3 linked regions of the Astyanax mexicanus genome follow. The protein of the gene in region 2 binds, or shares a complex with, the protein of the main gene of each other region. Links are inferred from orthologs where the notes say so. Each region holds a gene or a part of one and is shown on either strand. Other genes may lie near its edges. The genes, in order: ube2e1; nuclear factor 7, brain-like; skp2.

Region 1 (10,945 bases), on a different chromosome or scaffold from region 2:
GGACCTATAAAACTGTAAGGAACTGAAGTGTGAAAGTGAAGCTTTTATGCAGGATCTACCAGGTTAAACACTAAACACAAACAAACCTGATTTTGTGAGATTTTGAAGTAAAAACTTTAATATTTTTGTGCATTTCACTCTCTCACTTTTTTGCACAGTTGAGTGAGATACAGATTCAGTAACTGTCTCACCCTGTTCTGCCCAACTTCTGCTTATTAAAGACTCTTAGAGACGTTTGGTGGATAAAGTTTTTGTACCAAATCACGATTAGAATCACCTTTTCGTATCACCTGATTAAAACCACTTCCAACTTTTTTGGAATCTGTTGCAAATCTGCACTGCATTAATGGATGTATTAATAAGTATTAATAAATTCAAGTTATTGACATTTACATTACATTTACAGCATTTATCTGACTCAAGGTTATTCCTATTAAAGAGCCGATGGCTTTGGGCCAGTGGACCAATGTAGTGTTAGGAGTGTTGGGAGTCTTGCCCTGGGACTTTGGGGTATTGGTGTAGATCAGCATTCTGTAGTCACCCAGACCTGGAATTATTGAACCCCATTCTCCCTCCAACGGGCAGGTAGTGGTGTTATCCACTGTGCCACACCAACCACAGTTGAAATATCTAACGTTTAAACTGTCTGCACACTGTTCGACAAAATTGATTTTTGTTTAAGTTTGCATCTTTTTAGGGGCTGTATTTGTGTGTGTTGTGTGAGCTATCTCTATCTCTAAGAGCCTGTGGTGCTCTCTCTCTTCTCGTGTCTCTCTCCTCACAGCCGATCCTCTGGTGGGAAGCATCGCCACACAGTACCTGACCAACAGAGCAGAACACGACAGGATAGCCAAACAGTGGACCAAACGCTACGCCACATAAACCACCCAACCCTCCTGTACTGCTGTGCCTCCTGCATCCCTAAAAGAAAGCACACCCGGCCCTGGATCCAGACGTTCCCAGATGTTCCCAGATGATGTTCCCCCGCCCATCCCCCTCCCCGTCCCTAAACAATGAACTGTCCTTTGTTTTTTCTTGTTGACTTGAAGGCTTTTTTATACAGTAAATGTATACTAAGAGCAGATCAGGATTGTACTTTTTTCCAGTGCGCTGAATGTTGGCATGGTCATCAAAAGCTTTATTATTATTTGTAATGTTTTTTTAATGTGTTTAATGATGGAATATAATCTGCTTTATTATTGAGAAGAGGGTGAACTGCACTCTATGGTTTCTCTTCTGGATCTTCTGGCCTTTCTTCTCCTCTGGGAAGACGACACTCGAGCTGAAGACCAGGCGCTCATCACTGAATCTCCTCTTCTTTTTCTCCATTAAAGTGGATTTTTTATTTCTGATTGGTGTTTTAAGTCCAGATTTCTCCCCAGATTTCTCCGTGTTGTTTATGTGGAACACTACGGCACTGGCCTGTTTATCTTGAGAAGCCCTGTACCAGTTCAGTATATCAGTGGGCCTGCTGCTCGCCACGTGCCGCCATTGGCTGTTTGTTGTTAAATGCACATTGTGAGGGAAAACTCAGTCGATACTCAACTGTTAAACAACTGAGTGAATAAATGAGGTGTTGAGCTGAGTGGTGGTTTGCTTGGTTTCTGTGTGGTTTCTCTGCGTTAACGTTTCCCCGACCGAGAGCGACGCTTTCCTGTTTATCACAGGATTTTCCTTTAGAAAGTGACTGTTGTTTTTTTTGTTTTATTTTACCACACTACTAACCTCTCAGACTCCCAGTGCTGTGAAAAAAAGGCTCCTCTGTGAGAGTTTGAGGTTTGCTAATATTTTCCGTACAGCTGTGAATGTAAAATTTCGGAAAAGTAACTCCAGTGACCTCAGTCTTTGCATGTGACACACTTACGCTCTGAATTCAAGTATTGTTCATACGCTGCATGTCAAGATTGATTATGGAAACCCCTTTAAGTAGAAGAAAGTTCACCCACTGCTGACACTTTTCCAATTGTGCATGCACACAGCATGTGAAACCTCTGTAAATATTCATTCCCAAAAGACTGGGACACTCAGGAACAGCCGCGGATCAGCTGATGGAGACCATACCCAGCGCAAAGCTGAATATAGAAGAACAAGAGCTGTGAAAATAATTTATTATGAAACTGAAAAAAGGAGAAAAACATTCGAGAGATCGACCAAACATCAGGAGTGTCAAAATAAAGTGTGTGGATTTTACACAATTTGTAAAAGACTTACAGACAAATATAGAAATACAGCGACAACAATGCAAGACATGGACCACAAAAACAGAACGGTAAGATTGTAAAAAGTTTGTAAAAATGTAGATTAAAAAAGCCTGACTTTTGTGGACAGATGAAACCAATGGGGACCAATGAGAACTGACCAAAATCCAAAGCTTTCCATCTTATAAATAGAAAAATAAAAATAGGAGTTGTACCTTCAGAATTACAGAATTTAAAGGCAAGCATGATTTAGTTTAATTAAATGAATTAAAATTGGTCATGCATTTCCATAGAACCCCCCTCCCCCCCCCAAAAAAAAAAACTCACTTATAAATAAATTGCATTTTTAAACATTTTCTTTCTGCTTGTGTCATTCATATATTTCAGAAAATTAAAGCAAGTAACATTTAAGTTGATCTTATTGGCCTTTTAAACTTTAAGTGTGAAATCCCTGGACAGTGATTGAGCCTAGTCTTGGACTGCAACTAAACTTAATCCCTGTATAGAAAACTGACCCTATATATGCAATCTTGATCTCTACTAGAAGTTTTTCACAGTCAGCGTTTCACACAAAACTGTGTAAACTCTTTTGTTAGCACAGGAGAGTGGTGAGCGCCTAAAACTCTGATACTCAGGCATCCTTGTTGCTATAATGTCCTGCGAGGGTAACTGGTGGCGTTACAACACTCAACTGTCTCCTCTATATACCGATTGAACTGTAACCCCCCAACAAAAGACTCGAGCCTATTCAACGACAAATGTAGTGTACAGCAGCCTAAAGCCTGTGCTGAGCAGAAACTCAGAGATAAAACGATGTTTCTCACTTCCCCTACAGCACTTTTTAAGGGCTTTGACTGTTTTCTTTCTGCTTCCGAGAAAGAGGAGATCGAGTGGTAGAAGAAGACGCTGCATGAAAGGACTCCCACTGCTCAGCGCTCTTAGAAACCAACAGTGATATTTATTTACTCACTGAACAAATTCTAAATCCAGAAAATGATTCTGATGGTGGTTTTCCCAAACTGCTACCATAGAGAAATAAGGCCTTCAGAAAGAAATACATTAAAAGAAGAGGAGAAACAGTAGAGCAGCCCCCCACCCCCAGACAGAAACGATGGGCCATCACTTATAATCTGCCAACTGTAAATTTATAGCTGTTATGGAAAGATCCAGACAGCTCTCTACTCCAACAAAAGCAGTGAGCATTCAGGGGTCAATGGTCAATTTGCAGCCCCGCCTGTCAATAACAGAGAAGAATTGAGAAGAATGGTAAAGAATTAGCCTTACACTGATTTAGTAGAAAATAAAAATTAGAGATTATTCAAATAGGTTAAATTTGAGTGATGCCATAGAAGAACCACCTATAGTTTCACAAACAAAAAAAACACCAAAAGTTTGTAATAGAGATATGTAAAAAGCCTTTTAGAGTCTAAGGAGCTTTTACCCAATGTAGATGTTCCTTACCTATTTCAAGGTTCAAAAGAATTAGAAAAGAGTTATGCAGTGAAAAATGGTAATAATGCAGTACTTCTTTATCTTGTGTCAGTTTACTTCTATGATGGCAGAAATTAATTAATCCATTTTCAACAACACAATGCCAAACCACATGCTGCACACGTTACAAAGACATGGCAATGGAAGAAGTGGAAGGAGAGTCCTGTAGATGACGAAACAAACCATGAATTATTGGGAATAAACTGGCTACTATTAAATTAAAGAAGTAAATATGATATAAATAAAGTAATACTCTATTACTCTCTTTCTTTCTTACTATTGGAGGGTTGTATTACAAACATGGCTATTCTGTGGCACATCGCAAAGTCAAATGTTAAATAAAAGATCTGATTATTTGCATGATGTTGGCCTCTCCAAATGATCACATTACCTGAACCGTGACCAGAACTGTTGCTTATGGATGCAACCAGATAATTATCTTGACATAAACAGCTGGCTAATTGCGTTTCACCACGTTGGTGCTACTTAAAGCATTGACTAAAGGATTGCGTCTTTTCCAGGTGTTTGAATGAGCCAGATGGTCTTTGCTGTGGCCGTAAACAGGCTGCGTCTCATCGTCTGCAGCCACCCAGCCCAGCATTCGGCCTACAATCATACATAATGCAAACAGACAGTGAGACAGACAGGAAGTGTGTGTGTGAGAGTGGAAACCCATTGAAACCCATCCTGTTACAAATGCAAACTGCTGTGATGGGGGAGGGGAGGTGGGGTGTCTTTAGATCAGTGGTGTAAATGTGGGTAAATGAGGCAATTCTTGAACCCAAAACACCTCCTCCCCCTTCAGCCAATCATTCAATCACTCAGAGTGAATAAGTATAAACTACACATTTATCTTTATATATACATATATATTATCTTTATCTTATCTCAGTGTACACTTAGGTCATTTGTATATAGATTTGTGTAGATTCTTCATCCCTTAGAATTGTCTTCATGATTAGAATGAATGTAAAGATTTATGTAAATGGATTCTGTTCTGATTGGCTACAATCACACTGTATGGGCCCTGTTTAAATATGCCCTGTTAGTTAATAGGTGGGGCTACACTGTATGAATTTATAGTACAGAAGCAAATATATGTAAATATATTGGTTTTAGACATCCCAACAACACTACATTCAAAACAGGACTAAACTAGTTTACATATATGGCGTCTACTGTATTGAATAGAAGCGAACATTACATTTTTAATCTGTAATTATTAACAAAAATCTACTTTTTATTTTTCTATCTTATCTAATACATTTTTGCTGCCATTTCTCTATTCAGACTAAACTACTAAGACAGCTGAAATCAAGAGCTCACAGCTTTCAATAAATGGTGAGTTTCAGCTCACACTTTGTGTTCACACATTTTTTTTCTCTTCAAACTTGATAGATGACTAGATGGCTTATAAGATAAATCGCTTGGCAAAATGTTTTATTATCAAACACTTCAAACCATAGATAAAACGTCACATATTTTCATGCAGTGGACAGAGTTTTCTTATCATATTGACAGTACGCTTTAATGGGCATATTGAAATTCCAATTTAGAAGTTCCAGGAATTCAGGAATATTATAGTAAAAAATAATTCAAAAACGGCAAAAGTGGTCGGTAACGACTAACAACTAGATGACTGGAACAGTTTCATTTGGATTTTAAAATCATTTCATCATTTTATACCATTGGAGTTGGTAGTTGGTAGTTAAGTGATTGACAAGAATTGCACTAAAATAAACAAAAGAAGTAAAATTGAGCAAGTAATTTTTTTAATTCTTATTGTGAGGGGCAGAAATCATTGGAAAAAGTAAAAATTATAGAAAATGTAAAAAACTTTTTTGATTGAAACTCCTTTTTTAATAATAATAATAATAATAATAATAATAATAATAATAATAATAATAATAATAATAATAATAATAATAATGCAGTTATTTATAAATAAGTCAGGTAAAAGCTGATGCGTTAGTCTGGCTGGTCGGCCCGCTCGCGGGGTCTCTTTATTCACACCGTTAGTTTGTTGAGATTACCGGTGAACGCGGGCGGGCGGGCGCGCGGCTCCGCTGCACTGCTGCACGAGCACTTCCGCTGCGCGAGAGGCCAAAGCCACGCGCGTCCACAGGCGACGGGGAAGAGAAGGGCTCGACACGCAGACACAAAGAAAGGTACCCGGGGATCCACTGCCGCGGAGTTTTTACCGGCGGCGCGGTAGATAAGGGGGCCGGGCGGGTTTTGCGGGTGTCGGTGCGGCGGGGGAAAGGTTTAATCCGCGGAGAGGAGAGAGAAAAGAGGGGGAGAGAGAAAGAGAGAGCGGCGGCGGGGCTGGACTGAGAGGAGGGAGGTCGGCTGGCTGGCTGACTGACTGACACACGGGGCGCTTAAACGGGAATTAAGCGGCTGTTCGACGGTTTAAAGTTGGTTTTGTTGAGCTTAGAAGCTGGAAAAGAGGCTGATCTTTGTTTTACAGTAGAAGTTTGTCGAAGTCGAGGCGAGATAAGAGAGAAGAACCGGGGAGATCGGTGCACAGCGCGGCGGCTGATTCTGCTTCTGCTGCGGCGGCGCCAGCTAACCAGCCCCGTCCATTTTTCAGCCCCCCACCTCCTCCTCCTCCTCTAACACACACTCTCTATACACACACTCACACACACACACTCTATAAACACACACTTTTAATCTTTACACACACACACATTCTCTCTATATATACACACTATACACTCGCACACATTTTTTCTTTCTTTCTCTATACACACACTGTACACTCACACTTTCTCTCTATACACATACACTCTATATACACTTACACAATTTATCTATCTATATAAACACTATACAATCACTCTCTCTATACACTCACACTCTTTCTCTCTCTAAAGACATACACTCTGTCTATACACTCAATATTTCTCTTTTTATACACACACTATACACTCTGTATACACTCTCACACTCTTTCTCTCTCTCTCTCTCTCTCTCTCTCTCTCTCTCTCTCTCTCTCTCTCTCTCTCTCTCTCTCTCTCTCTCTCTCTCTCTCTCTCTCTCTCTCTCTCTCTCTCTCTCTCTCTCTCTCTCTCTCTCTCTCTCTCTCTCTCTCTCTCTCTCTCTCTCTCTCTCTCTCTCTCTCTCTCTCTCTCTCTACACACACACACACACACACACACACACACTCGGATGGCTTCTCAGTTCTCACCGTTTTTAGCCCAGCTAACGCTAAGCTAACTTAGCCAAGCTAACTAGGCTAAGCTTGTTGGTTCCATCGTAATGATCTTGCTTTAGTCAGTTAGCTAGCTATAACCAGCTAACACTCTAAGCTAACCAGGCTAACGCGCTTCACGATTTTTTTCCCCACAGTCGTTAAAACTGTTGTTTGTTTTTATTTATTTATTATTATTTTTCTCAAAACGCGACGTCGTCAGCGAGCCTAGCCGCGGTTAACGCTAACTAGCTGACTGTTACGCTATCGGCGCAAACATCGAGGTCAGCGGGCTAATCTCCCCTCAGGCTGCCGGGGTATGAAATGAGCAGTAACTTAACGTTAAATAATTTTAAATCACTATCGATAAGGAGGAGTAGGAGGTCGAAATCTTTCAGCGTTTATTCGGCTAGCTCTGATATCTAGCTTAACATGTTGTTGTTATCTAACTAGATTTAACTAGCGTAGTTAGCCAACGTTAGCTAACCATTAACTAACCTGAGCTAGTTAAGTTAGCTAGCTTAGCTACGTGAAGGCTAGTTAGTTAGCTTGGTTAGCTTGTTGGCTAACTAGCTGTTAGTGTTTGTGAGAGTGAGGAGTTAGCTAGGTTAGAATAGCCAGGCTTTAACAGCCAGTTAAAGGTCACCCTCACACATTGTTCTCTCTGCTCTTTAACTAGATAGGTTATTATTATTATTATTATTATTATTATTATTATTATTATTATTATTATCGTTATTGTTATTGTCGTTATTATTATTGTTGTTATAATTTCTCCTCGCTCTTTATTTTAAGGTGTGCTTTACACGTTTCCTTTTGTCCTCCTCCTCCTCTCTTTTGAGGTCGGTAGCATGTCGGATGAGGATTCGCGTGCCAGCTCCAGCTCCTCTTCATCCTCCTCCTCCTCCTCAGCTGCTCACCAGCAAGCGGAGAAAGACACACCTAGCAAGAAGCGAGAGAGCAAAGCCAACATGAGCAAGACCTCCAAACTCCTCTCCACCAGCGCCAAGAGGTGAGACCTGCTGTCTGTCTCTCCTCTCTGATCATGGGTGACTGACTAACATTAACATTAACCTAAATAATAAATAACCTAGGGTAGGTTAGGTGTCCTAGTTAACTAAGTTAACTAACTAACAGTTATGGCTGGGCAATGTAAGTATCTTAATCTATCAATTTTTCTATCTTTCTATCTTTCGTGAACATCGGGAGATATATGCAGCTCTGGAAAAAAATAAGAGACCACCTGAAAATGATGAGTTTCTTTGATTTCACCCCTCATTTCATTGAAAACCTCTGGAATATAATCAAGAGGATGATGCATGTCCGTAGTTATATATAGAGAAAAACAGCAATGTTCATTTTACTCAAACATAAACATATAAATAGCAAAATCAGAGAAACTGATACAGAAACTGAAGTGCTCTCATTTTGTTCCAGAGCTGTAAATGGATGTATAGTTGCTCTTTTGCTTTCTATGAGGAAGTGTGGATGAAGGAGTGTAGCTGAAGAACACAGGATGTTGTGTACTCTGAATAAATAATGTTACACCTAATTACAAATGCTTTACATATTTACACACACCTTGCAAATAACAAAAAAACAACAAGACAAAGTGCAGAAGACATCAATCAGCTGATTCACATTCAGTTCGATATAGGTAGCTATGGGAAGATCATTAACATCTGCGGAAAGTCAGGCGTGCATGGTATTTAAGTTATGACAGACATCTTTATGTAGAATATACTGTAGCAGCATAGGTGCACTGTAGAACGTGGAGTTGGATAAGTAGGTGATTCAAAGTATATGAGCAAAAAGTATTGTTATTGTGTATAGAGAACACTATTTAACTACACATTTTACACATGGTTTTATTTAGGCCTGTTTATTTAATTTAATTGATTTATTTTATAAGTTCTCAGATAGTGCATATCCCTTTGTCAATTGCTTCTTATCAGATATCAGGAACAGTAAATATATATTGTGACCTATATCTTAATATATCATATTGTGTGCATCCCATATCTCACACCTTTGATTTAATGCATTTGTAATTCAGTTGAATAATCTGTTTGAATGACTTGATGTTAAACTGATGAAACTGATGCTATCTATAACATTCAGTGATTAAAAAAATAAAAATCAAATAAAGATTTTTACTAAAAAAGAAAGTTTTTGAATTTGTTTGAGGTTTTCTTGTAAGGGGGGGAAACCTGAAATGTTTGGCTGACCCATTCATTTCTGTTAAGTAGGTTTTAATTAGGCGAGGTATTGTGTGCCAATTGCACTTGAACTCTCACTTCTCACTCTATACAAATGCAGACAGACCACCCGTGCAGGAGATCACTCGCATGAAAGTAGAGTAGAAAGAAGGGCCAGTTCTTTGTCTAAGTGTTTGTCCAAGTGTTTCTCCAGATGTTCCTCTGTGGCTGCTCCCACTGCTTTGAGGTGGCCTGAGCTGGGAAAGAAAAGGCATTTTAATACAATTTTGTGATTGTTTTTTGATCATACTTCAAAACACTTACATGATCTTTTATCGTTGCTGTTTTGTTTCAGAATTCAGAAGGAATTGGCTGATATCATGTTGGATCCTCCACCAAATTGCAGGTCAGTCTGTTTGGTTTTTTGTGAATTGTATTTATCTGTGGGTTGTTGCTGTTGATGTGCGTTTTTGAGCCTATAAGATTGAGATCAGAAGTGTTTTTGTCAGAGTAATGCTGCCTTAAAGTCGTGTTGGAAATATCATGTATATTTTTGAGAAAGCACATACACTCTACCACAAACGCATAGTGAATTTAACGGTGGAAAACACAGATTTTTAGATAAGCCCCTTTAATATAAGAGTTTCCCAGTTGGGGGCGTGTCAGTAACCAAGTGAAATTGATGTAGACAGTTCTTATTATTAACTTCTTACGCTTCAACACTTCACTGCAGGTTGTTTTTAGCTAACTAATAAAATCACTAGCAATACATGAAAAATCGTAAAAGTCTGATATGATTCACGGTTCTAATGGGATAGTAAAAAAACTATCACTCACCTAACGAGAGTCCTATTTGCTTTATTTTCTAGAAGTAGGGCAAATAAACCTCCTGTTTTTTATGATAATATACCAAAAATATAAACAAAAGGACTTTCCTTATGGCGTCCATTTCCATCCGACCAATACACATCTGAACGCATATTAAGTCGTAATTACGACCTCTTACCTCATAAGTAGGAGTTTCTAAAGAGGACTTGAAGACAGCATAGGCTAATTTTAACGTATTGCAGCCTAAGAGATACTACACAATCATCTTTTGGTTCACCTGAAGGCTGTGATGAGCTTGCTAGCTCCGCTTGGCGGTGATTAGCGGAGAAAAAGCAGACTTCTTGCTCCCCGAAACGACTTCCTGCGTTTGTTCCCGCCCTGAATTATACCGTGAGCTAAAAGAGCTGTTTAGAAGTTCCATGTGTTTCCTGTTTTCCCGGGGTCTGGTCAGGCACAGCATGCTGCCCTTCCTAGAGAGCTGCAGTGTGTTTTATCTTGAAGTCGATGGAACCCAAACCCAAAATACATCACCAAACGAACATGAGAGCAAGTGACAGTAATTGTCCTTTTATTTTTGAGTTGTATTTCTTGTCTTGTCCTGAGGTTGTTTACTTATTTAGTGTAGCCTTTCATGGACATGTTTGTAAAGTTAGTTTTTCTACTCTTCTACAGTAAAAGTACAGATTAGCATTGACTGACTGGGTGATTCATGTTGTACATCCAATCCAGAAAGGGCATAATCCCTTTTTTTTTTTTTTTCTCTCTCCATGTTGGGTATGTATTTGATATGTGAATGGGATTACTGGCATAGTTGATAAAGATACAGATACAAACAGTAATATATATTCTCACCCAGCATTATTTATTATTATTTAACAGCAGATATGAGTAATCTCAATCTCAGCCTTAAATGTGACTCAAATATGATCTCTCCAAATGAGTCTTAAATCACTTTTGAATGTGTTTTCTTGATTGGGCAGAAGGTGCCTTGGAAGGGAAGTGGTCTTGCCAATAGCATAAAGTGCTTTGCGCAT
Region 2 (10,874 bases):
GCCGGCAGTTTTAAAAACTGTCAGGTAGCTTCCTGACAGTACGCCGGCACTACTAAAAACTGTCAGGGAGCTTCCTGACAGTACGCCGGCAGTATTAAAAACTGCCAGGGAGCTTGCTGACAGTACGCCGGCACTACTAAAAACTGTCAGGGAGCTTCCTGACAGTACGCCGGCAGTATTAAAAACTGCCAGGGAGCTTGCTGACAGTACGCCGGCACTACTAAAAACTGTCAGGGAGCTTCCTGACAGTACGCCGGCAGTATTAAAAACTGCCAGGGAGCTTGCTGACAGTACGCCGGCACTACTAAAAACTGTCAGGGGGCTTCCTGACAGTACGCCGGCAGTTTTAAAAACTGTCAGGTAGCTTCCTGACAGTACGCCGGCACTACTAAAAACTGTCAGGGGGCTTCCTGACAGTATGCCGGCAGTTTTAAAAACTGTCAGGTAGCTTCCTGACAGTATGTCGGCACTACTAAAAACTGTCAGGGAGCTTCCTGACAGTACGCCGGCAGTATTAAAAACTGTCAGGGGGCTAGCTGACAGTACGCCGGCACTATTAAAAACTGTCAGGGAGCTTCCTGACAGTATGCCGGCACTACTAAAAACTGTCAGGGGGCTTGCTCACAGTACGCCGGCACTATTAAAAACTGTCAGGGAGCTTGCTGACAGTACGCCGGCAGTATTAAAAACTGCCAGGGAGCTTCCTGACAGTAAGGGGCTTTCTCACAGTACGCCGGCACTATTAAAAACTGTCAGGGAGCTTGCTGACAGTATGCCGGCAGTTTTAAAAACTGTCAGGTAGCTTCCTGACAGTATGCCGGCACTACTAAAAACTGTCAGGGAGCTTCCTGACAGTACGCCGGCAGTATTAAAAACTGCCAGGGAGCTTGCTGACAGTACGCCGGCACTACTAAAAACTGTCAGGGAGCTTCCTGACAGTACGCCGGCAGTATTAAAAACTGCCAGGGAGCTTGCTGACAGTACGCCGGCACTACTAAAAACTGTCAGGGGGCTTCCTGACAGTACGCCGGCAGTTTTAAAAACTGTCAGGTAGCTTCCTGACAGTACGCCGGCACTACTAAAAACTGTCAGGGGGCTTGCTCACAGTACGCCGGCACTATTAAAAACTGTCAGGGAGCTTGCTGACAGTATGCCGGCAGTTTTAAAAACTGTCAGGTAGCTTCCTGACAGTATGTCGGCACTACTAAAAACTGTCAGGGAGCTTCCTGACAGTACGCCGGCAGTATTAAAAACTGCCAGGGAGCTTGCTGACAGTACGCCGGCAGTATTAAAAACTGTCAGGGGGCTAGCTGACAGTACGCCGGCACTATTAAAAACTGTCAGGGAGCTTCCTGACAGTATGCCGGCACTACTAAAAACTGTCAGGGGGCTTGCTCACAGTACGCCGGCACTATTAAAAACTGTCAGGGAGCTTGCTGACAGTACGCCGGCAGTATTAAAAACTGCCAGGGAGCTTCCTGACAGTAAGGGGCTTTCTCACAGTACGCCGGCACTATTAAAAACTGTCAGGGAGCTTGCTGACAGTATGCCGGCAGTTTTAAAAACTGTCAGGTAGCTTCCTGACAGTATGCCGGCACTACTAAAAACTGTCAGGGAGCTTCCTGACAGTACGCCGGCAGTATTAAAAACTGCCAGGGAGCTTGCTGACAGTACGCCGGCACTACTAAAAACTGCCAGGGAGCTTCCTGACAGTACGCCGGCACTACTAAAAACTGCCAGGGAGCTTCCTGACAGTACGCCGGCACTACTAAAAACTGTCAGGGAGCTTCCTGACAGTACGCCGGCAGTATTAAAAACTGCCAGGGAGCTTGCTGACAGTACGCCGGCACTACTAAAAACTGCCAGGGAGCTTGCTGACAGTACGCCGGCACTACTAAAAACTGCCAGGGAGCTTGCTCACAGTACGCTGGCACTATTAAAAACTGTCAGGGAGCTTGCTGACAGTACACCGGCAGTATTAAAAACTGCCAGGGAGCTTGCTGACAGTACGCCGGCACTATTAAAAACTGTCAGGGAGCTTCCTGACAGTACGCCGGCAGTTTTAAAAACTGTCAGGGAGCTTGCTGACAGTGAGCCGGCAGTTTTAAAAACTGTCAGGGAGCTTCCTGACAGTACGCCGGCACTATTAAAAACTGTCAGGGAGCTTCCTGACAGTACGCCGGCAGTTTTAAAAACTGTCAGGGAGCCTGCTGACATTACGCCGGCAGTTTTAAAAACTGGACTCTTTCATATGGGAGTGGACCTGTTTTGGCATTATGGAAAAATCATGAGAAATTTAATTTTAAGCATGAATAATAAAAATAAATAAATAATATAAAATAAACAATACAGTGAATTTTTCCCAAACTTGCAGGAGTCATAGCCTAGGACAGACTCTTTCAAATTGTAGAGATCATGAGATCATGAGAAATTTAATTTTAAACATGAATAAAATAATAATAATAATATAAAATAAACAATACAGTGAAATTTGCCAAAACTTGCAGAGGTGATAGCCTATGTTTTGGCATCAAATGCTAACAGTGGAACTGTTTTGGCATTATGGGAAAATCATGAGAAATTAAATTTTAAGCATAAAAAATTAATAAATTAATATAAAATAAACAATACAGTGAAATTTGCCCAAAATTGCAGGAGTCAAAGCCTAGGACAGACTCTTTCAAATGGTAATGGAACTGTGTTGGCATTATGGGAAAATCATGAGAAATGTCATTTTAAGCATAAAAAAAAAAAAAAAAAAAAAATTATATAAAATAAACAAAACAGTGAAATTTGCCCAAATTTGCAGGAGTCATAGCCTAGGATGGACTCTTTCAAATGGTAGTGGACCTGGTTTGGCATTATGGGAAAATCACAAGAAATTTAATTTTAAATATGCATATACTATATATATATGTTTATATCTATATATTTTTGTAATTAATATAAAATAAACAAAACTGTGAAATTTGCCCAAACTCACAGGAGTCATGGCCTAGGACATACTCTTTCAAATGGTAGTGGACCTGGTTTGGCATTATGGGAAAATCACAAGAAATTTAATTTTAAATATGCATATACTATATATATATGTTTATATCTATATATTTTTGTAATTAATATAAAATAAACAAAACAGTGAAATTTGCCCAAACTCGCAGGAGTCATAGCATAGGTTCTTTCAAATGGTAGTGGATCTATTTTGGCATTATGGGAAAATCATGAGAAATTTAATTTTAAACATGAATAAAAAAAACAATAATAATAATAATAATAATAATAATAATAATAATAATATAAAATAAAAAATACAGTGAAATTTGCCCAAACTTGCAGAGGTGACAGCCTATGTTGTACTCTTTCAAATGGTAGTGGACCAGTTTTGGCATTATGGGAAAATCATGAAAAATTTAATTTTAAACACGCATACACTTTTTTTATTAATATAAAATAAACCATACAGTAAAAATTGCCCACACTTGCAGAAGTGATAGTCTATGATGGACTCTTTTACAAGGTACTGGATCTGTTTTGGTTTTTTGGGAAACTCATGAGAAATTTTAATTTGAAGCATGGATTGAAAAAAGTAATATTAATATAAAACTCTCTCTCTCTTAAACACTGATGGGATATTATATCAAATAGATAATGTACTGCACAAAATATACAGTGAGGTGAGTTATTTTAATCCGTTTTTTCTCGTTTCTGGGCTTAATGTATGTCTGAATTAATATAATAGACTGAAACGTGTCGGTCTCCCGTTCTCTGTGTTTTTTAAGCGTGCTCTCCGCCTGCGCGGCTGTTTACCGTAAAATCGCACGTATACGCGCATCAAAATTTAAAGCGCGGATGACTTGACTGAGAATTTCCGAAGCGCGGATAGCTTGACTCCGGTCTTACTGTCAGCTAGCCCCCTGACGGTTTTTAATAGTGCCGCCGTACTGTCAGGAAGCTACCTGACAGTTTTTAGTAGTGCCGGCGTACTGTCAGGAAGCTACCTGACAGTTTTTAAAACTGCCGGCGTACTGTCAGCAAGCCCCCTGTCAGTTTTTAGTACTGCCGGGTACGTGCCTGGCACTGCCGGGTCGATGAAAAAGTGTCTGGCGGGTGACGTCACGAAGACCCACCACTGCCGCCCGTCTCCCGTCAGGCAGAGATCCAACCCCCTCTCCCTGTGTGCTCGCGGAGCGATTTTTACTGCAACAAAGCTGCCAAAAGTCTCCAGCCAATCAGAAGTGGCAAAAGGATTTGACCAGTTAAATAGACCGCTGAGGTCGTGCGTCATTCTGTAGTTCTCGTATGGCTTATAAGTGTCTGAAAGTTCTCAAAAACTCGCCTCTATCACATTCTGTGGTAAATAAATCTGTTCAGAACTCTGTACGTTTTATTCTGTGTACATTTTCCTCCTATACATCACTAGATCCTCTGAATTATGAGATCGTTTAAGAGTTGTAATGAGAAAAAATGCTAGCTTTAAGCTAACGCTTATCTGTGGCAGGAAATGCCAGAGTACTCGATTCTGCAGTACACCAGCGAACTCCGGTCGGATCGCGTTTTGCACTATTCTTCTTCTTCACAGAGGATCATTAAAGTATTTAAACAGGTGAAAACTCTATCAGTATGGTGATGTTGAGCAGTGTAGTCTGTGTTAGAGCTTTAAAAGGCAGATAATAAGAGAAAGTGGTTCTCAGTTCAGGAGCAGCGCTTCCCTGCGGGTTTAGTATTTAATTACGGTCATTAGTTTATACTAATTACATACTAAACACATGACTCAAATTATCAACTAACAACTAATCAACTAACTAACTGCCCTCACTGAGGCGAGCTGTGTGTTACAGCAGTAAAACTAGCAGGACAGAGTTACTCCAGAACCACAGAGCTAACCCAGCTAACTGAAGAACTACAGAGTCTAAAACACTTGTCCTGTAAAACATGTAGAATGGCTTAATGTGAGTTTTTTTTCCACTGAAAGACATTATAAGGATGAATCTTAACGTGGCTTAATGTACTGAAACAACGAGCCAGAAAGACCAAACATTGAGATTTATTTCACCAAATAAAAAAAAGGTAAATGGTAAAACGTGCTACAGTGTTTAAAGCTGGTTTTGGAGTAACTCTTTATTGCTGGGTTAGTTTTTTTTTTTTGCTGTGACACAACCAGCTCTCCTCACAGAGGTCAGTTAGTTCATTAGTTGGATCAGCTGTGTTTAATATACTGTAAACATACTGCCGGAGTTTGCTGGTGTTGTGCCGAAAAGAGTCCCCTGCTGATCTCTGCAGCTGCGCTTGGATGTGAGTTCTGTGTGCTGTAGCATTAGCTCAAAGCTAGATATATGATATATCCCAGATATGATATATCTGAGAGTGCGTGTGATGTTTCGTACAAGAGGAGAGTTAATCTGAGAGAGAGCATGGTAAATTTGTGAGAGCGCACCTATATTTTACACGTGAGCAAATAAAATCTGTGAGCGCTGCATGAAACAGACTCTTACATTCAAAAACTTCGCTCTCGACTATTGGCAGTAAAATATGATGCCATAGTAATGTCTCTTAATCTTCCTCCTGTTTCTGCTTCCTTCTGTTCAGCTAATTTTTTTACATTCACTGCTCTTCTACGTGTTTAAACTGCTGTAAGACGCTCACTTCTTTTCTCCAGCTCAAGCTGTTCACTTTAGTTCAGTCCCAGAGTTCAGCTTTAACAGCTGGAATGTGGAGATGATCAGCAGCTGGATGGGTTTGATGGTGAAAAGTGTGAAATTGTTTTCATTCACTGACTAAGAATTATTCTGAAATGATCTCTGTGCTCTCAGATCACCTTCATGCTGCTTCTCTGTGTCTCCTCAGTCAGTCATGGCTTCCTCCAGCAGTCTCCTGTCTGAAGATCAGCTCCAGTGCTCTATCTGTCTGGATGTGTTCACTGATCCAGTCTCTACTCCATGTGGACACAACTTCTGCATGGTCTGTCTCAGAAAGTGCTGGAACAGCAGCTCACACTGCCAGTGTCCAGTCTGTAAAGAAGAATTCTCCAAAAGGCCTGAGCTCCGTGTGAACACCTTCATCTCTGGACTGGCTTCTGAGTTTAAGAAGTCAGTTCAGGAGAAGTCCAGCAGAGCTCCAGAGAAATGTACCTCCAAATCTAAGAAGGTGCTGTGTGTCTATTGTAGTGAGGAGAAGCTGGAGGCTGTAAAGTCCTGTCTGGACTGTGGCGTTTCTTTCTGTGACACTCATCTGATGCCTCATAAAACTACACCCAAATATAAGAAACACAAGCTGATGGATCCTGTGGAGAACCTGGAGGACTACATCTGCCAGAAACATGAGAGACCCCTGGAGCTGTTCTGTAGAGACGACCAGACGTGTGTGTGTCAGTTCTGTACTGAGGGAGACCACCGGACTCACAGTACTGTTCCTATAGAGGAGGAGAGTGGAGAGAAGAAGGTGAGAGATGTTTAGACAGAGAGTTATTAACACTAATTTTACTATTCTCCTATTTTTCCTAAGAATAACTGATCATAATGTGTCTCTTTATCACAGACTCAGCTGGAGAAGACACAGGCAGAAGTTCAGCAGATGATCCAGGAGCGACTGAAGAAGATCCAGGAGATCAAACACTCTGTAGAACTCAATAAAGTGAGATTCTATAGCGTTTAAACTCATTTTAAATATGAAAGCTGCTCTTTAAACAGTGTTATTGTTCTTATTGTTGTCTCCTTTTAGAAAATCAGAGAGAAGGAGAAAGCAGACAGTGTGGAGATCTTCAGGGCTCTGGTGCGCTGCATTGAGAGAAGCCAGGCTGAGCTGCTGGAGGTGATGGAGGAGAAGCAGAAAGCAGCAGAGAGGCAGGCTGAAGAGCTGATTAAAGAGCTGGAGCAGGAAATCACTGAGCTAAAGAGGAGAGACACTGAGCTGGAGCAGATCTCCCACACTGAGGACCACCTCCACCTCCTACAGGTCAGAGTCCCTCTGTTTCTCAATAGTAATGCAGTCCATCACAGGACAGCACTGCCCATGCTGAGGGGTTTCTCCTCTCTCCTGCTGTACTGTAGATTTACCCGTCCCTCTGCAGACCCCCACACACCAAGAACTGGACTGACGTCAGTGTTAACACTCCTCTGAGTGTGGAGAGTCTGAGGAGAGCTCTGTCTCAGCTTCAGGAACATCTCACACAGGAGATGGAGAAGATTGGTAAGAGTGGTAAGTGTTTACTGTTCAGGTTTTTAATAAACCTGAATTTAGAATCTAATAGTCTTTATTCTTTTTCAAACAGAACTGAAGAGAATTCAGCAGTATGCAGGTGGGTGGGGCTTTCACTGATCACATGATTCAGTCTGTATGATTCTCTATTTCTTACAGTATGTTGATTAAAATGGGTTTAAACTGTGTTTCTCTCTCAGTGGACGTGACTCTGGATCCTGATACAGCAAATCCTTTTCTCATCCTGTCTGATGATGAAAAACAAGTTAAACTTGGAGACAAACAACAGAATCTCCCTGATAATCCAGAGAGATTTGATCCTTGTGTCTGTGTTCTGGGAAAGGAGGGTTTCTCCTCAGGAAGATTTTACTATGAGGTTCAGGTCAGTGGGAAGACTAAGTGGACATTAGGAGTGACCAGAGAGTCCAGCAACAGGAAGGGAAGGATTATACTGAGTCCTGAGAATGGATACTGGACTGTGTGGTTGAGGAATGAAACTGAATATAAAGCTCTGGAATCTCCTCGTGTCCTCCTCTGGTTAAATCAGGCTCCCCAGAAGGTGGGGGTGTTTGTGGATTATGAGGAGGGTCTGGTCTCCTTCTATGATGTTGAGGTCAGATCTCATATCTACTCTTTCACTGGTCAGTCTTTCACTGAGAAACTCTATCCATACTTCAGTCCTGAGCTCAATGATGGAGGTAAAAATTCAGCTCCACTGATCATCACTCCTGTTCAACATTATAAATGAGCTTTATTGTTTATTTACTCGATCAGAATCTAATTTGTTGAGTCAGAACAAAAAATCTGATTGTAGATTAAAAGTAGATTTTGGGTAACAAAAGCTAGTTTCTGTTTAACAAATTAATATCTAAATAAAATCTTAACAATTTCTACACAAAGATTCTCTTTATATCTGTTTAAAAGATAATTTTCTGTTAAGTTTTTGTTCATAATGGTGGTAGTTTTCCCCTTTTATTTTCTGTATTAAATCATTCCTGAATAAACTGTGAGATCTGCAGGTCTGTGGTGTTTTATTATATTTTATATGTTTAATGAATCTACATGTTTTTTAGATGTTTAATGATTACTGCATGTGTTTATTCAGTATTAAAATATACAGATTCAATATAATTAAACTTACTTTTAGTTAATATCTTAATATCTTATTTAATTATTTACTTATTTTTAGTTAGTATTTAGTTTACTTTTTGTACAATGTCTTAGTTAGTGGTATTTTTTACTATCTACCTTTTTATTCTTGTTATTGTTAAGTACTAATTAGCTATATCTCTGGTCTTCTTTACTCCATAGGATCTTCTAACCAGTAAAGTCTGGATCTCAGATTTAGCAGAAGTTCAGTACACACTGTGTTTCAGCTCAGATTCAGTATTAAACACACAAAAAACCCAAAACACCCCAAAATCGGTTGTACAATAGTTGTGTTTACTGCTTTGTGCTGTTTTATTTGGCTGAGGTTAATTTTGTGCTCATTTTTACTCTTAAATATGAAGACTGTTCATACGGTTGTTTGAGTGACACCATAGAGGAACAGCTTTTGGTGCTGATAAAAAAACATTTAAAATTAGTTTAAAATATATTAACATTTATTTACATAGTGTGCACTGATTACTGATTTTAATATAAACGTTCATGTATGAGGTATCAGAAAAAAACAGCTGTACTCAATAACATAGCTGTACTTAAAACATTGTCTTTATTTTACACTATATAGTTATTTTATCATTCAGAAGTTTAAGTTCAAATTAATGCAGTAATGCCTTTTAAAATATTCTAATATTTGCTGTGGTAAAAGTACAGCACTCTATTTATGTGATAATAATTGCATAACTGTGATGAGAATGATTTAATACAGTATTTTATAAGGACTGTGATTAAATGTACTGTATGCTAGAGTTTAAAAAATATGAATATAAATATATAAATATAAAAAAAATATCAGGCAAAAATATCCAGCCCGTTCCAACCCGACCCATAAACTGTCATTATGAGCCTGAGCCCGATTTAAACTCCACATTTTTTTTAGTAAGTAAATTGTTAAAACTGAGCTTTTTAAATAATTTTCAGGCTGTTTCAATAATATAAATCTGTTCAGAATAATGTTAATTAACATTGCAACACTGAAGAAGCATAGATCTATTATTTAATAAAAATGTTTATTAAGAACAGATACACACAGTGCTGCAAGTCAAGTGCGTAATGCAACAAATAGAGGATCTCACGTGTGCGTGAGACCCAGAGCTGTGTGATTATAACATTCTAACTAGTGCAACTTTTTTATTTAAAGCACAGTTTGATTTGTTACTTTGCTATATTGTGATTATCACTCCATATCTTTATATTAAATAAAAATAGAATTAAAAACACACAATTACCTCACAGATCATTTTCTTGGGTATCGGGTCGGGCAGAGAATCTAAACTCTACTGTATTCGTACTGTAAAGTTTACTACAGTAGATAATCACCGTCAGCAGGTTCCTGAAGGTTGTGATGATGCTCCAGTGCAGTGCAGTAATCACCAGTAGATGATAGGAGGACGCTGTGCTGTGATGCTGAATCTGCTGTTGAGTTTGGTGATGAATGTATTAGTTGGTGATTAATGTATGAAGTGGCGGAACGTTGTGAGCGGTTCAGTTGGGGGTTTGGGTATTGATTATTGATCATCACTCAGGTTTAGGATCATCAGACTCTTTGTCGTCCTTCTTTATCTCTTTTCAGGTCTCTATCTCTCTTTCTCTCTTTATCTCTCTCTCTCCTGCAGATCAGACTTGATGATTTCAGATCTTCAGCTTCTTCCCCTATACAGTTCCTTCAGCTCAGAGTTGCCAGGTTTGCGGTTTTCCCGCCAAATTTGGCTTGTTTGAAAATCAAGTCGCGGGTAAAAAATCAGGGGTGGTGGGTGCTTTTTTGGGGGGCAAGTTCTATCTTCTTTGATTTACAACAGTAAGAACCAGGAGAACATAACTATGGGACGTAACCCATTGCAAGGACTAATAAATAAAAATGTTACCATTGCATTTAGATTTTATTTTTGACATTTACTATGCAGTTCATCACAAAAAGGCAAGGCCAAATTAAAGCTTTTATTTTTCTTTTTAGAATGAGCTTTTTTATTTTAGATTTGACTGTGAAATACCTGTATGGTAATGAAAATTAAAAGGCAAAAAATAGCCTTTTTTATATTTTTTATTTATTTATTGTCACATATAACCTATGCTTAATTGAAAATAAAATGTATTGCAAATGAAGTGATTTCATTTTATTTTACAATATTTTCACACAATTGAAAAAAAAGCGCAAAACTGTATTTGCATTTTTTATTTTAGTGTTTTCATTTCAGTTTTATTTTTGGCAGAATTTACTTCCCATAGAGAGAGAGAGAGAGAGAGAGAGAGAGAGAGAGAGAGAGAGAGAGAGAGAAAGAGAGAAATTCACCATGTAACTGAAAATCACAAGGCAATTAAAAAAACTGTTAAAGAGGAGAGAAAACAGTTCAGGAGTGGGAAAAAACAGAAAAAATAAGGAAAAAAAAGTACCTAATTACATTATTGCTAATTATATTACTATTAAATGTTCTTGACTGGGATATAAAACTGTTATAAAACAACAAATAAAACATTAATGTTACAATATTATTAATGACTTTAAGATAAATAGCAAT
Region 3 (10,844 bases), on a different chromosome or scaffold from region 2:
GTAATCTAGATATATGCAGCATAAAATACAGAAAAATATATTTTTAACTGAAGCTGTATGTTCTTCTAGTGTTTTTTATCCCAAACACTAACAGAGCACTAACAGAGAAAAAAAAACACTAATCTAACGCCTCATTGCTTTGAGCATTTCCAGGCACTTATGAAGGAAGGCTGCAACAATAAGTGGACATAATCGACAATGTTGACTATAAAAATTTGTCGATGCAGAATTTCATTGTCAGCTTGTTTTTAATGTGTGATGAAGCTCTGAACAGGAGGTGCTGTGGAGAACTAAGAGAAGTAAATACCAAAAAGAATAAATGAACAAAAAAATGATAAAAGGACAGTTTTTTATATGTTAATTGTAATTAAGAACAAATTATATATATAATCTTCAATATAATTAATACAAAAAAAACACAATAGAAGAGATTAAAACATTTTTTGTCAAAACCTAATATATAAATAAAAAAAGGCCTGTGTGAGTGTTTCCTATAATTTACTATGTAAAGTTTATCTTAGAATAGGTACGTCAAACTATCAAAATGTACTGCTGAATCTGTCTAGGGCCCTAAACGTTTAGCTGTCTATGTGCAGCAAAGAATGCACTGGATCAGGAGTCTCACCAAGAAGAAGTTCAAAGGGAGGGCATGGTAAAATATAATTTCGACTAATCTACTAATCGATCAAATAATCAGCAGATAAGTTGACAACTAAAATAGTCATTAGTTGCAGCCCTATTAAAAAGTTGAGGTTTGTTTGTCTGTAGATGGTCCGAACAAAAGCAGACATGTTAAAACTTGGTGTGTCACAGTGGATAACACCACTACATGCCAGTGAACTACCACATCATGTGGTTCAATTCCCAATCTGGGTGACTTTGCTGCTCTGCACCAATAAGCGTCCTTGGGCAAGACTCCTAACACTTCATTGGCCCACCTCCGTAATACGAATAACCTTGAAAGTCGCTCTGGACAAGAGCATCAGCTAAATGCCATAAAAGACTTCTGGTGCATTGTGAAAAACATTACAGCAAAACAGGTAAACACTTCATAGGAAAGGGCAAAAGCTTATAATACAGCAGGACAGCAGGCCATGTGACCATGTCTTACTGATATTAACAATAAATGTTATCAATTTGGTTTTGCATGGCTGTTTAAAAAAGTCAAAGGTGCAGAAGTGAAATTTATATAGCTTAATACACATGCCTAAATTTATTAAACTTATTTTAATCATTCTGTGGTAAAACACCCATAAATATACTGTAAATAAAAATTAAAATGCAAAAGATCATAATCTATACTACACTGAAGAAGATCATGAGGTAAGATTTGAGGAAATTGCATTGCATTGCTTTCTCACCATGTAAGACACTGTGAGGTCCAGTACACAACCCTCCAGAACACAGGCATGATCCCATTGGGAATGTAGCTCCATGGTTTGTAACAAGCCTTCGGAATGCTATTAAAGAAAAAACAAGTACATTAATTGATGACTGTTATGAATATAGCTAAATCTTTAGTACATGCAGTTTATTTTTATAGCACTTTTTACTTTCTAAACATGAAGATTCAAATATACTGAGCATGTTTTGTCATTTTGGACAATTGTAATTGGTTCAATGATCAAACTGCTCTTGTAAAAAGGGGACAAATAATATTTTAAATAAAAAATAAGAGACCACTTAAAAATTATGAGTTTCTTTGATTTTACCAAATTGAATACGTCTGGACTACAATCAAGATGAAGCTGGATGATCACAAGCCATCAAACTAAGCTGAACTGCTTGAATTTTTGCACCAGGAGTAAAGGCATAAAGTTATTCAAAAGCAGTGTGTAAGACTTGTGGAGAACATGATGCCAAGAAGCATGAAAACTGTGATTTTAAACCAGGGTTATTTCACCAAATATTGATTTCTAAACTCTTACAACTTTATGAATATGAACTTGTTTTCTTTGCATTATTTGAGGTCTGAAAGCTCTGCATCTTTTTTGTTATTTCAGCCATTTCTCATTTTCTGCAAATAAATGCTCTAAATGACATTTTTTTTATTTCTAATTTGGGAGACGTGATGTCCGTAGTTTATAGAATAAAAAGTTGTCTCTTATTTTCTCTCAGAGCTGTATATATAGAAACAAACAAAGGACACACTAATGTACCTGTAATAAAGACAGTAGCTATTCCTAGTCTATTATTCATGAGCCTCTTTACAGCACAATAGAAATAACACAGAAAGTAGACCAACCTAGCAGTGGGCGTGACAGTCGCATTTCCTGTTGTCTGGTTGGAGATTCCTGGGCCCACAGATGGTGACTGAGCATGTTCCTCATGATCAATCACGCACTGTTTGTATATTGTCTGGAATACATATTAAACACAAATATGAATTAAGCTGCAATGCATTTAAAAATCATAGAATAATTATGTAATTTCCAAATATCAGACTAAACGAACCGTGCTGACGTCCAGCGGGAGAATGAAGACAATGAGAAAGCACAAATACCAGGCCAGCAGTGTGCCAAAGAGCACCATGCGCTGCTGCTTTTTGAAGTCTCCATAACGATGCAGCAGGAACAAAGCCAGGAAAAAGACCACGACTATCTCTATTCCCAGCGCAGCTCCACTCATTCTCCCCTGCTGCAGTCCTCCAGACTAATGAAAACTGTGCAGAACAGGCAGAGAGGAAAAAACATGTTAGACAGAATAAGAATAGCAAGACACTAAAGACTCTAAAACACTATTACATGGAGCAAGAGCTAAGCACAGCAAAGGCCTTCCACAAACTAATTACAATTAGAATACAAAACACCGGCCTCAGACAAAAGCTAGTGTCCCCTTTACCAATCTGAAAGACCTTTTTGTTTTTATTCACTAGAGCAAGATTACAAGAAGAAATCAAATTATTCTGAATCGTGGGTCAGACACAGAGTTTCATATTATTATTTTGTATCTATACTTGATTTTCTGATTCTTTCATTTTTGCATTTAGTAACACATTTGGTTGGATTATGGGATCATATTTCTGTTATTTCTGTTTTACACTTCTGCGTGCGCATATTAGTGGCTCTGTGTCGCTCTGCAGTTTAAACTGCAAAGGAGGGAATGTGTGGATGGTAGTCCTGGGTGAGATTCATGCTTAATTTTGATTATTCGAATTACAGTTTTAATGCGTTTTTCAAAACGGAGTAATCACGAATTTACATACAGATATTTTATCTTTTTAATCTGAAATATCCAAAACTGTTACTTATTTGTTTAGTGCTTATCTGTCTTACTTTGTGACTCCCACAGACTAACAAATGCATAATTTTTTAAAGTTCCAGCACTTTCAACACAAACACCCGGTGGAAAAAAGCACATATTTAGCTAGAAATAAATCTGTTTCTAAAAACTGCAGCATCATAGCTCACCTTATTTTTTTACAGGTAAACCTAGTTTTGAACCATTTCTTTGTTTATTTGTAGTTTGATTTTTAGAAGGATGGAGAAAACCGGTTTCTAGACGAAAATTGGATTTTTTGTTAAAAAAAATGGAAGATTTTTATTAGGCCATAATTGTCCAGCACTAGTGGGAGGGGACGCGAGGCCCGGCAGACCAATCGCAGCTCCGGCTGTCCAACTCTGATAGAAGGGCTTCACTTTTATCAGAGGCACACTGCTCAGCTCAATCTGCTCTAACTTCGGCCCCGCCCCTAAACCCATACATCACCTAGTGCCCCTCCCACACTACCCCTCCCTTTCTTTTAGAATATTTCAAACTTGAGCTGAGGGAGGAGGGGGTTGGGGCCGTAAAATCAAAATATTAGCTTCAACATAGAAGCACAAACATCAACATTAAACACCAACAATTCAGTTTAACTTCTAAACTAATGGTTTGTATATATAACCTTTTATTGACTCTAATATTTATTAATATACTGATCATATTACCAATAATAAGCGACTTGTCAGACTGTGTGTTTACGCGCATCCGCCGTTGCTGCTAGCTTTAACTACAGCTCTGCTAGGTTAGCTAACAACAAACCCAGCACAGCTAACAGTTACCGTCCGTTAGAAGCTAAACCCCGATATACAGGCTTTTCCTACCTGTCTAACGCGCTGAAAGATACACAGACCGCTCACAGAGCCGCTGTTCTCCACTTCCACACCGCCAATACTGAAAACTGCCCACTAAATAAAGCTGTTCGAGCTACAGCCATTACTCTGCCTGCCCCAAAATCACACACACATCCCCCGGCCACAGCTGCTTTACCCCGAGACCGCCCACTCACCGCCTCCGCCGCTAAAGCAGAAAACCACTGTACACCGCCAGGGAGAGCCCGAGAAAGAGACTAAAATGAATAGGGTGAATAGAGCTTTTTAGTATATTTTATGTAGTTTGCTTTTAAAACATAAAGCACAACCAATACAATATTGAAAAGGTGAAAACAAGGAAATATGCAAGTGAACAAAAGGAAAAAAATATATAATATGACATACAGTATAATATAATTATACATATAGTGGTAATATAATTAATACAAATATAAATAAACCTAGTTACATTACATTACATTACATTTGGCAGACGCTTTTGTAGTGAAGAACAGAAATAGTAGAAGGTAAAACAACTTAATATAAGGCCTAAAGGAGGTCAAAGGGGAATAATGGGATAGAGGAGTGAAGGAGGGGAAGAAGGAAATGAGGTTAGAAGTTGTTAGTTTGTTAGAGGTGTTAAGAGGGTAAGTGCTCTTTGAAGAGAGCTGTCTTCAGGAGTTTATTAAAGATAGTGAGAGATTCTCCTGATCTGGTAGTAGAAGGTAGTTTGTTAGAGGTGTTAAGAGAGTAAGTGCTCTTCGAAGAGCTCTGTCTTCAGGAGTTTATTAAAGATAGTGAGAGATTCGCCTGATCTGGTAGTGGAAGGTAGTTTGTTCCACCATTGGGGAACTCTGTATGAGAACAGTCTGGATTGCTTTGTGTGAATGTTTGTTTGGTAAAGCTAGGCGACGTTCATTGGAGGAGCGCAGCAGCCGGGAGGTAGCGTAAGCCTTTAGGAGTGATCAGTGCAGGTAGGAAGGAGCCTGTTCTGTCATCACCTTGTAGGCGATTGTAAGAGCTTTAAAAACCTAGTGTAAAACTAACAAAAAATATATATAGTCAAAGATAAAATTCAAAAAATATTTTTCTTTTTTTTTTGCAATTCTTTATTTTTCCAGTGTGTGCTAAAAAATAAAAGTGCTCTATCATAAAAAAGTCGCTCCACAATTAGAAGTACATGTACTAAAATAATAAAAATGTTTTGTATTTACGTACAGCAAGTATTTATTCTAAAATGTACTACTTAAGTACTGAAAGTAGAAGTACAATATTGTGTCATGTACTAGCTAACTACTACTTCCAGAGCAGAGCGTCTGAGTGGGAATTCTCTTTTCTATTAGAGATTATTTTCACCCAGCGACCAGAACAACTCTAGGGAAGCAAGCGGGACGGCATTCGGCATCTTCACGCATGCGCACTGATAGTGTCGCTTTGTATGCAACATACACGGCTGGATGTGGGCTACGATGACTTGGAGATCAGCAAATATGAAAATTCAGTGAATTAAATTTAATTATTTGGATTAATAGAATGAATTAAATCTATCTACAGCACTAGTAAAATATTTGGACACCCATTCTTATTAATATTTGTTCTTTATTTTTATTATTTTCTACATTGTAGATTAATATGAAAGACTTAAAATTATTATTATTTATAATTTGTAGTTTATTCGTGGTTTGAACACCCATTCCTTCAAGACGCTGATTTACTTAGCCATAATATTTTAGACATAAACATAAAATGTAGACATAAAATTTCAAAACTATTCTTATGAAGACACAGATTAAAATACCAAGAGTTTGCAGATCCGTCCTCAAAGATAAACGTGCTTCTTAGATGTTTCCTGTATAGCGTTAATATTGTCTTCAATATTAAATTTACAATGTAAAAAAAAGATAAAAATAAACAAAACACATTGAATCTACCTGTCTGTCTGTCTACTTGTCTGTCTGTTCAGTCAGCCCTGGTCTGAGTGAGTCAGTGTAATATTTCTCCGGTCCAGCAGGGCGGCGACAGTCTGTGCGCTGCTCCGCTCTGAGCTCAGTCTGGGTGGCGGTGGAGCTGCGCGTTTAAACGGTGGCGGCTGCAGACAGAGAGCACAGCAATGCAGAGATCAGTACTGAGCAGCAGATCTGAGAGATTTACTGCGGAAACACATATAAAACAATTTAAACACGGACTAGAGAGTGAGATGGCAGTGGATAGGTGAGTATAGCACTGTTTATGGACTGCAGAAGTGCCTGGTTGTGGAATAACTTATATTAATACTGGGTTAGTAGATAGAGTAGTTTTAGTGTTTGGTTATAATGTAGATAACCCCTTAATAATTCATACTAACTAGTTATCTAACTCTTTAGTGTAGTGTCTTTCGTAGCCAATTAAATATGTATCCAGCAATGTGATCAGTAAGTTAGTTAACTGTACAAGTTATCTAGAAAACGTATCTAATACAAGTACTAACAGTTAACTAAGCTAAGCTAGCTAAACTTATAACTTACACATGAGCTTCAGTAATGCTCTGTTTAGCTAGTTAGGTTAAATCCTGTGTGTTTAAAACAATATTTGCTCTAGATAACATATTATTGTCCTATCCTAACTATTACAAAGCTTTATATATCTCTAAAGCTAAGTTATATAAGTTATTTAGCTTAAAAGTTAAATAGAGGGAACTGAGCTGACTGCTAGCTATTATGGCTAAGCTAACCTAGCTTTAGCTCCCTCCTTTCCAGCACTTCTGGCGCGCCTTGGCTTTTAAAGGCTTTAAACTTAAAAATAAGAAAAATATTATTCGTTTAACTATCGTATCATGTCTGTATATAAAAATGTTAATCGTTATGATACTTATTTCTGTGATTTTCTATCATTTTGAGCTCTTTTTTGGTGTTCTATTGTTGAGATGGCGCGATCAGAGGGAGCCAAACTGTAGTTCTGGCGGGCACCAAAACAACTCTGAAAAAAGTTTCAAACTCCGCCTAATTTTCACTTTAAAGCTCAATAAATTAAGGCATATATGTTTTATAGTATATTTGACACTTGTTTTTTGTTACATGTATGTTTTATAGCTTGATAGCTGTTTTAATTTAGGTTATTTATATGTTTAATGTGCGTTATTGCTTGACAAACAACTACACTGAGCACAGTTGGCTGCTCAGTGTCGTTAATGTTAGCTTAAATAAATGATTTGGGCTGCAAGAGTTGATTAACATAATCGATATTGTTGATTATTAATGACTTTACCTAACAAATTTCAGTGTGGACTAATCGTTAACTAGATAGAAACCTGTGGACAGAAACCCACAGTAGGGGGAGGGTTTCAGGGCTACTCACTCACTAAGTTCACACTTAGCCTGGGCACCAAAACTGATAACAGATTACATAATTAAAGGTCAGGGCAATATGGCGATATTATCATATTATAAAATCTTAATATCCTATTGATTATGCTTAAAACATATAAATAAAATTCAGTGCCTAAAAATAATGATACAACTGTTCATTTCAATAAAAAATTAGGTAATGCTTTTTGACCCTTTCAGATTCTGCAGCCATTACAATATACATCATGTATTTTCTTTATTTTTAAACGTTTTATTGCACATAACACTATTTGATAGCTATCAGAATAGACTGTGAACCTTGAATGGCAAATGAACAAGTTACTAAAAGACAACTTACTAATCTAATGTGAGTTGGAAAGCGTTTTAATTGTTTTTTTTACTGTTTAGGAATTGGTTATGAAACGAAAAAAAAGATTTATATAAAATCTGTGCTAAATAGATTTTTTTTTCCATCACTGGAGATATTTCAGGTCTGAAAGTTTTTTTTTTTTGCAATTTTACAGCAGCTCAAAGAACAGAACAGAGGAAGTATAAGGACATATACATACAAACAATATATAAAATATCTATATATATATATATATATATGCAAGAAAATGAATATAAAGGAAGATACAAGATATTTAAAAAAGTATTATTATATAAAAATACAATTTTGTTAAATTGGAAAATTAAACATTTTATTTTTTAATAAATCAATAACTTGGTCTGCTTTCAGTCTCAGACGCTCTTGGTTCTGGTCTTAATTCGGACTTGGTTCTAGCTTTCTTAATTACAACACTATTGGCACAGTTAATGATGACATACAGTAGGACACAGGCGGTAGCTTTTATATTGTTTATATTGATAGTGGAATTATATTGCATTGGCCAAAATTCAGAAATACCTTTTGGCAATATCGCCCAGCCCTAATATTTACTAACTAAATACGAGAAGATTTTACATTTTCCACTGTCTTCTGGGCATTTATTTACAAGGCCTGTAAGTCCCACTTTTGCACTTTCTATCATTTTTGAAGCAATTTTGAAAGAGCCATACACACAGGAAGCAGAGTTTGGAGGGCATGATATAAACAAAATATAGATTTAAAAATATTTTCTCATGCTTATTAATTAATTACTGTTTAGCTATTGACTCTTAACAAACCACCCTGATTTGCAGGCCGCTTCAAGAGCTTCCATGTCTGAATGAGAATTTGGAGGGATCCCTGCTGTGCATGTCTCAGACGAAAAAGAAGCAAAGGCTGCGCTACGGTGAAGAAAACACCCCGCATGAATTCATCCAGCACCTTTCACCCCCTCGCAAACAGCCTCGGCTCTGCGGCAAGGGCAAGGAGAACGCTTTTGTGTTGGCCAGACGTCCTCGAAAGAGCAGGGAATCAACAGGTATTGATATTGTGTTATATACCTTTATATCCAATGTTATTACATGTGTGCTTAGTCAATAATCATTTGAGGGAGATCTCCCTGCTGGTATTTTAACACTGATTTACAGTTAAATGTATACACAACTTTAGAACCAAGTGTAACATTTATTTTTCTTTTACTTTAGCTTTCAACTAACTGTATGCTAACAAAAAGTTATATTCTTTTTTTACATTTATTAAACTATAGATACTATACATTTCCTTAAAAACTCAGTCTGTTCACAAACATACTTTCTCCCTCCTGCAGCCGGTCTATCCTGGGACAGTCTCCCAGATGAGCTCCTGCTGGGGATCCTTTCACGCCTCTCGCTGCAGGACCTTCTCCGGACCTCCCGTGTGTGTAAACGCTGGCATAGAGTGGCGTAAGTTGTTCCCTCCAGTTTTTGTGCTTATTAGTAAGAAAAATATAAATATATACATCAACACAGCACACACACAGACACAGACAGGTGAGTAAAGGACACCCTTTTATTTCAGAATGAAAGAAATTTCTGAAATAAACGGGTGTCCTGCGAGCTAGCATTCATTTCTCAACTTAAGCTGATAAAACCATGATTTATTTTACAGAATATGATAATAGAATACTAGTGCATTTATGTATTATGTTTAAAAAACAAAAACTATTATTTAAGTATTAATGACAAGGCATTTTCATTATATTGTAAAATATCTTTCATGCAACCATGGAGGTCTAATATTTTACTGTATTTATCATTTGACCTGCATGACTGACTAGCTTTACATTTTAGGCTCCAATCAGGACCTTTGGTTCTCTTACACTAATATCGTAATGATTAATCCACCGATTCCATTGTTTGTTTAATTTTCAGATTTGATGAGTTCTTGTGGCGCAGTGTGGATTTGGTGGGGAAAGCTCAGCTGGATGCAGAGCTTGGCCAGGTGTTGAGTGCTGGAGTCCTGAGGCTGCGCTGTCCACATGTGTGCATTGGTCAACCCAGTTTTAAAAATACAGAGTAAGTGATGAGCCACTGTATTAAAGCCTATAGTTTCAACGTTACTCTTTTATTCTGTTTTACTAAAACTAAAATCACATGTATGTTTCAGACCTCTCCGTGTAAATCATATGGACTTGTCCGGCTGCACCGTACAGACGTCTGTCCTGGAGGACATTTTGTCCCGCTGCAGACGGCTACAGAATCTCAGTCTTGAGGGCCTTGAACTTTCAGACAAAATCCTCCAGTATGTTAACTTACAACAATATACTGTTGCCTGTTTAAATTGTATTAAGGTTGCTGTGTAGAATGTAACCGTGTGTATGGTACAGGGTATCTGCAGATCCATTAAGTCTTAATCCTTAATTTGTTTTATATTAATGGGTCTTAATTTGTAGAATATCTTAAATTTGTCCCCTAAGGTCTTAAGAAGGCCAAATCCAGTAAATACTTTTTTTTTTTTATGCATTGCATTTTGCAGTTTCCAAATTTTATTCGCAAGTTAGTTTACAGATTTAAATTAGTTAGACTGAACTAAGCAGGACCAATGGTATTATTATGTATGGCTCAGATGGGGACTATTTTAAGGTACACAGATTTTAGTTAGAATAGACAGTAATGTATAGGCTTGGAAAAACAGTAGGAATTGGGGTTAGACGACCCCAGTTTTGCTGCACACTATATTTAAGCATTGCCATCGTGTATAAGCGTAATAATCACATCACAGGACATTTGTTACATTATTACAACAATATTACATTAGACATTGTATCTTATGTATCAAATTGTATGTTGTGCTGCATTTAATGTGAAACAAAAAAACATTGCACCACATACTTGCCAACTGAGATTATTTAGAAATAATTAGTAGCAGATAAGATATATAAATTTGCCCAAAAATTCATTTTATGTTTTTGTTTTGACCAAAAAAAATAAAGTTAAAATAAACTTTAAAATTAAAAATAGACACCCATTGAACATTTTATTATTATGGCATGTTTAGATTTTTGACTTGTTGAGAAATTATGACTTTCAACACGATACCTGC

The links.
Region 1: the proteins of nuclear factor 7, brain-like (region 2) and ube2e1 are in contact, whole or in part, in a crystal structure (PDB 6FGA), measured with the Homo sapiens proteins. The link is inferred for Astyanax mexicanus from reciprocal best matches to the Homo sapiens genes TRIM21 and UBE2E1. Residues at the interface, in NP_003132.2 of Homo sapiens: Pro17, Ile18, Cys19, Leu20, Asp21, Glu38, Cys39, Gln42, Val43, Pro52, Arg55; in NP_003332.1 of Homo sapiens: Lys43, Lys50, Arg51, Lys54, Pro107, Phe108, Asn138, Trp139, Ser140, Pro141, Ala142, Thr144.
Region 3: nuclear factor 7, brain-like (region 2) and skp2 share a complex: the UniProt entries of both Homo sapiens proteins name them as parts of the SCF(SKP2)-like complex. The link is inferred for Astyanax mexicanus from reciprocal best matches to the Homo sapiens genes TRIM21 and SKP2.

The regions. Positions count from the first base shown.
Region 1 is NC_064410.1:325,188-336,132, forward strand, and holds the start of ube2e1 (ubiquitin-conjugating enzyme E2 E1), read left to right. Parts: upstream 1-5,747; 5' UTR 5,748-5,857; intron 5,858-6,849; exon of another isoform or gene 6,850-7,202; intron 7,203-7,727; 5' UTR 7,728-7,736; coding exon 7,737-7,897; intron 7,898-9,438; coding exon 9,439-9,489; intron 9,490-10,945. UniProt on the Homo sapiens protein: Accepts ubiquitin from the E1 complex and catalyzes its covalent attachment to other proteins. Catalyzes the covalent attachment of ISG15 to other proteins. Mediates the selective degradation of short-lived and abnormal proteins.
Region 2 is NC_064415.1:5,420,675-5,431,548, reverse strand, and holds nuclear factor 7, brain-like, read left to right. Parts: upstream 1-5,661; 5' UTR 5,662-5,850; coding exon 5,851-6,438; intron 6,439-6,534; coding exon 6,535-6,630; intron 6,631-6,717; coding exon 6,718-6,951; intron 6,952-7,046; coding exon 7,047-7,194; intron 7,195-7,267; coding exon 7,268-7,294; intron 7,295-7,394; coding exon 7,395-7,942; 3' UTR 7,943-8,202; downstream 8,203-10,874. UniProt on the Homo sapiens protein: E3 ubiquitin-protein ligase whose activity is dependent on E2 enzymes, UBE2D1, UBE2D2, UBE2E1 and UBE2E2.
Region 3 is NC_064424.1:6,371,473-6,382,316, reverse strand, and holds the start of skp2 (S-phase kinase-associated protein 2), read left to right. Parts: upstream 1-6,128; 5' UTR 6,129-6,183; coding exon 6,184-6,284; intron 6,285-8,578; coding exon 8,579-8,802; intron 8,803-9,090; coding exon 9,091-9,205; intron 9,206-9,673; coding exon 9,674-9,817; intron 9,818-9,908; coding exon 9,909-10,043; intron 10,044-10,844. Other genes in the region: G-protein coupled receptor-associated protein LMBRD2B, read right to left, coding at 1,362-1,460, 2,246-2,358, 2,455-2,628. UniProt on the Homo sapiens protein: Substrate recognition component of a SCF (SKP1-CUL1-F-box protein) E3 ubiquitin-protein ligase complex which mediates the ubiquitination and subsequent proteasomal degradation of target proteins involved in cell cycle progression, signal transduction and transcription.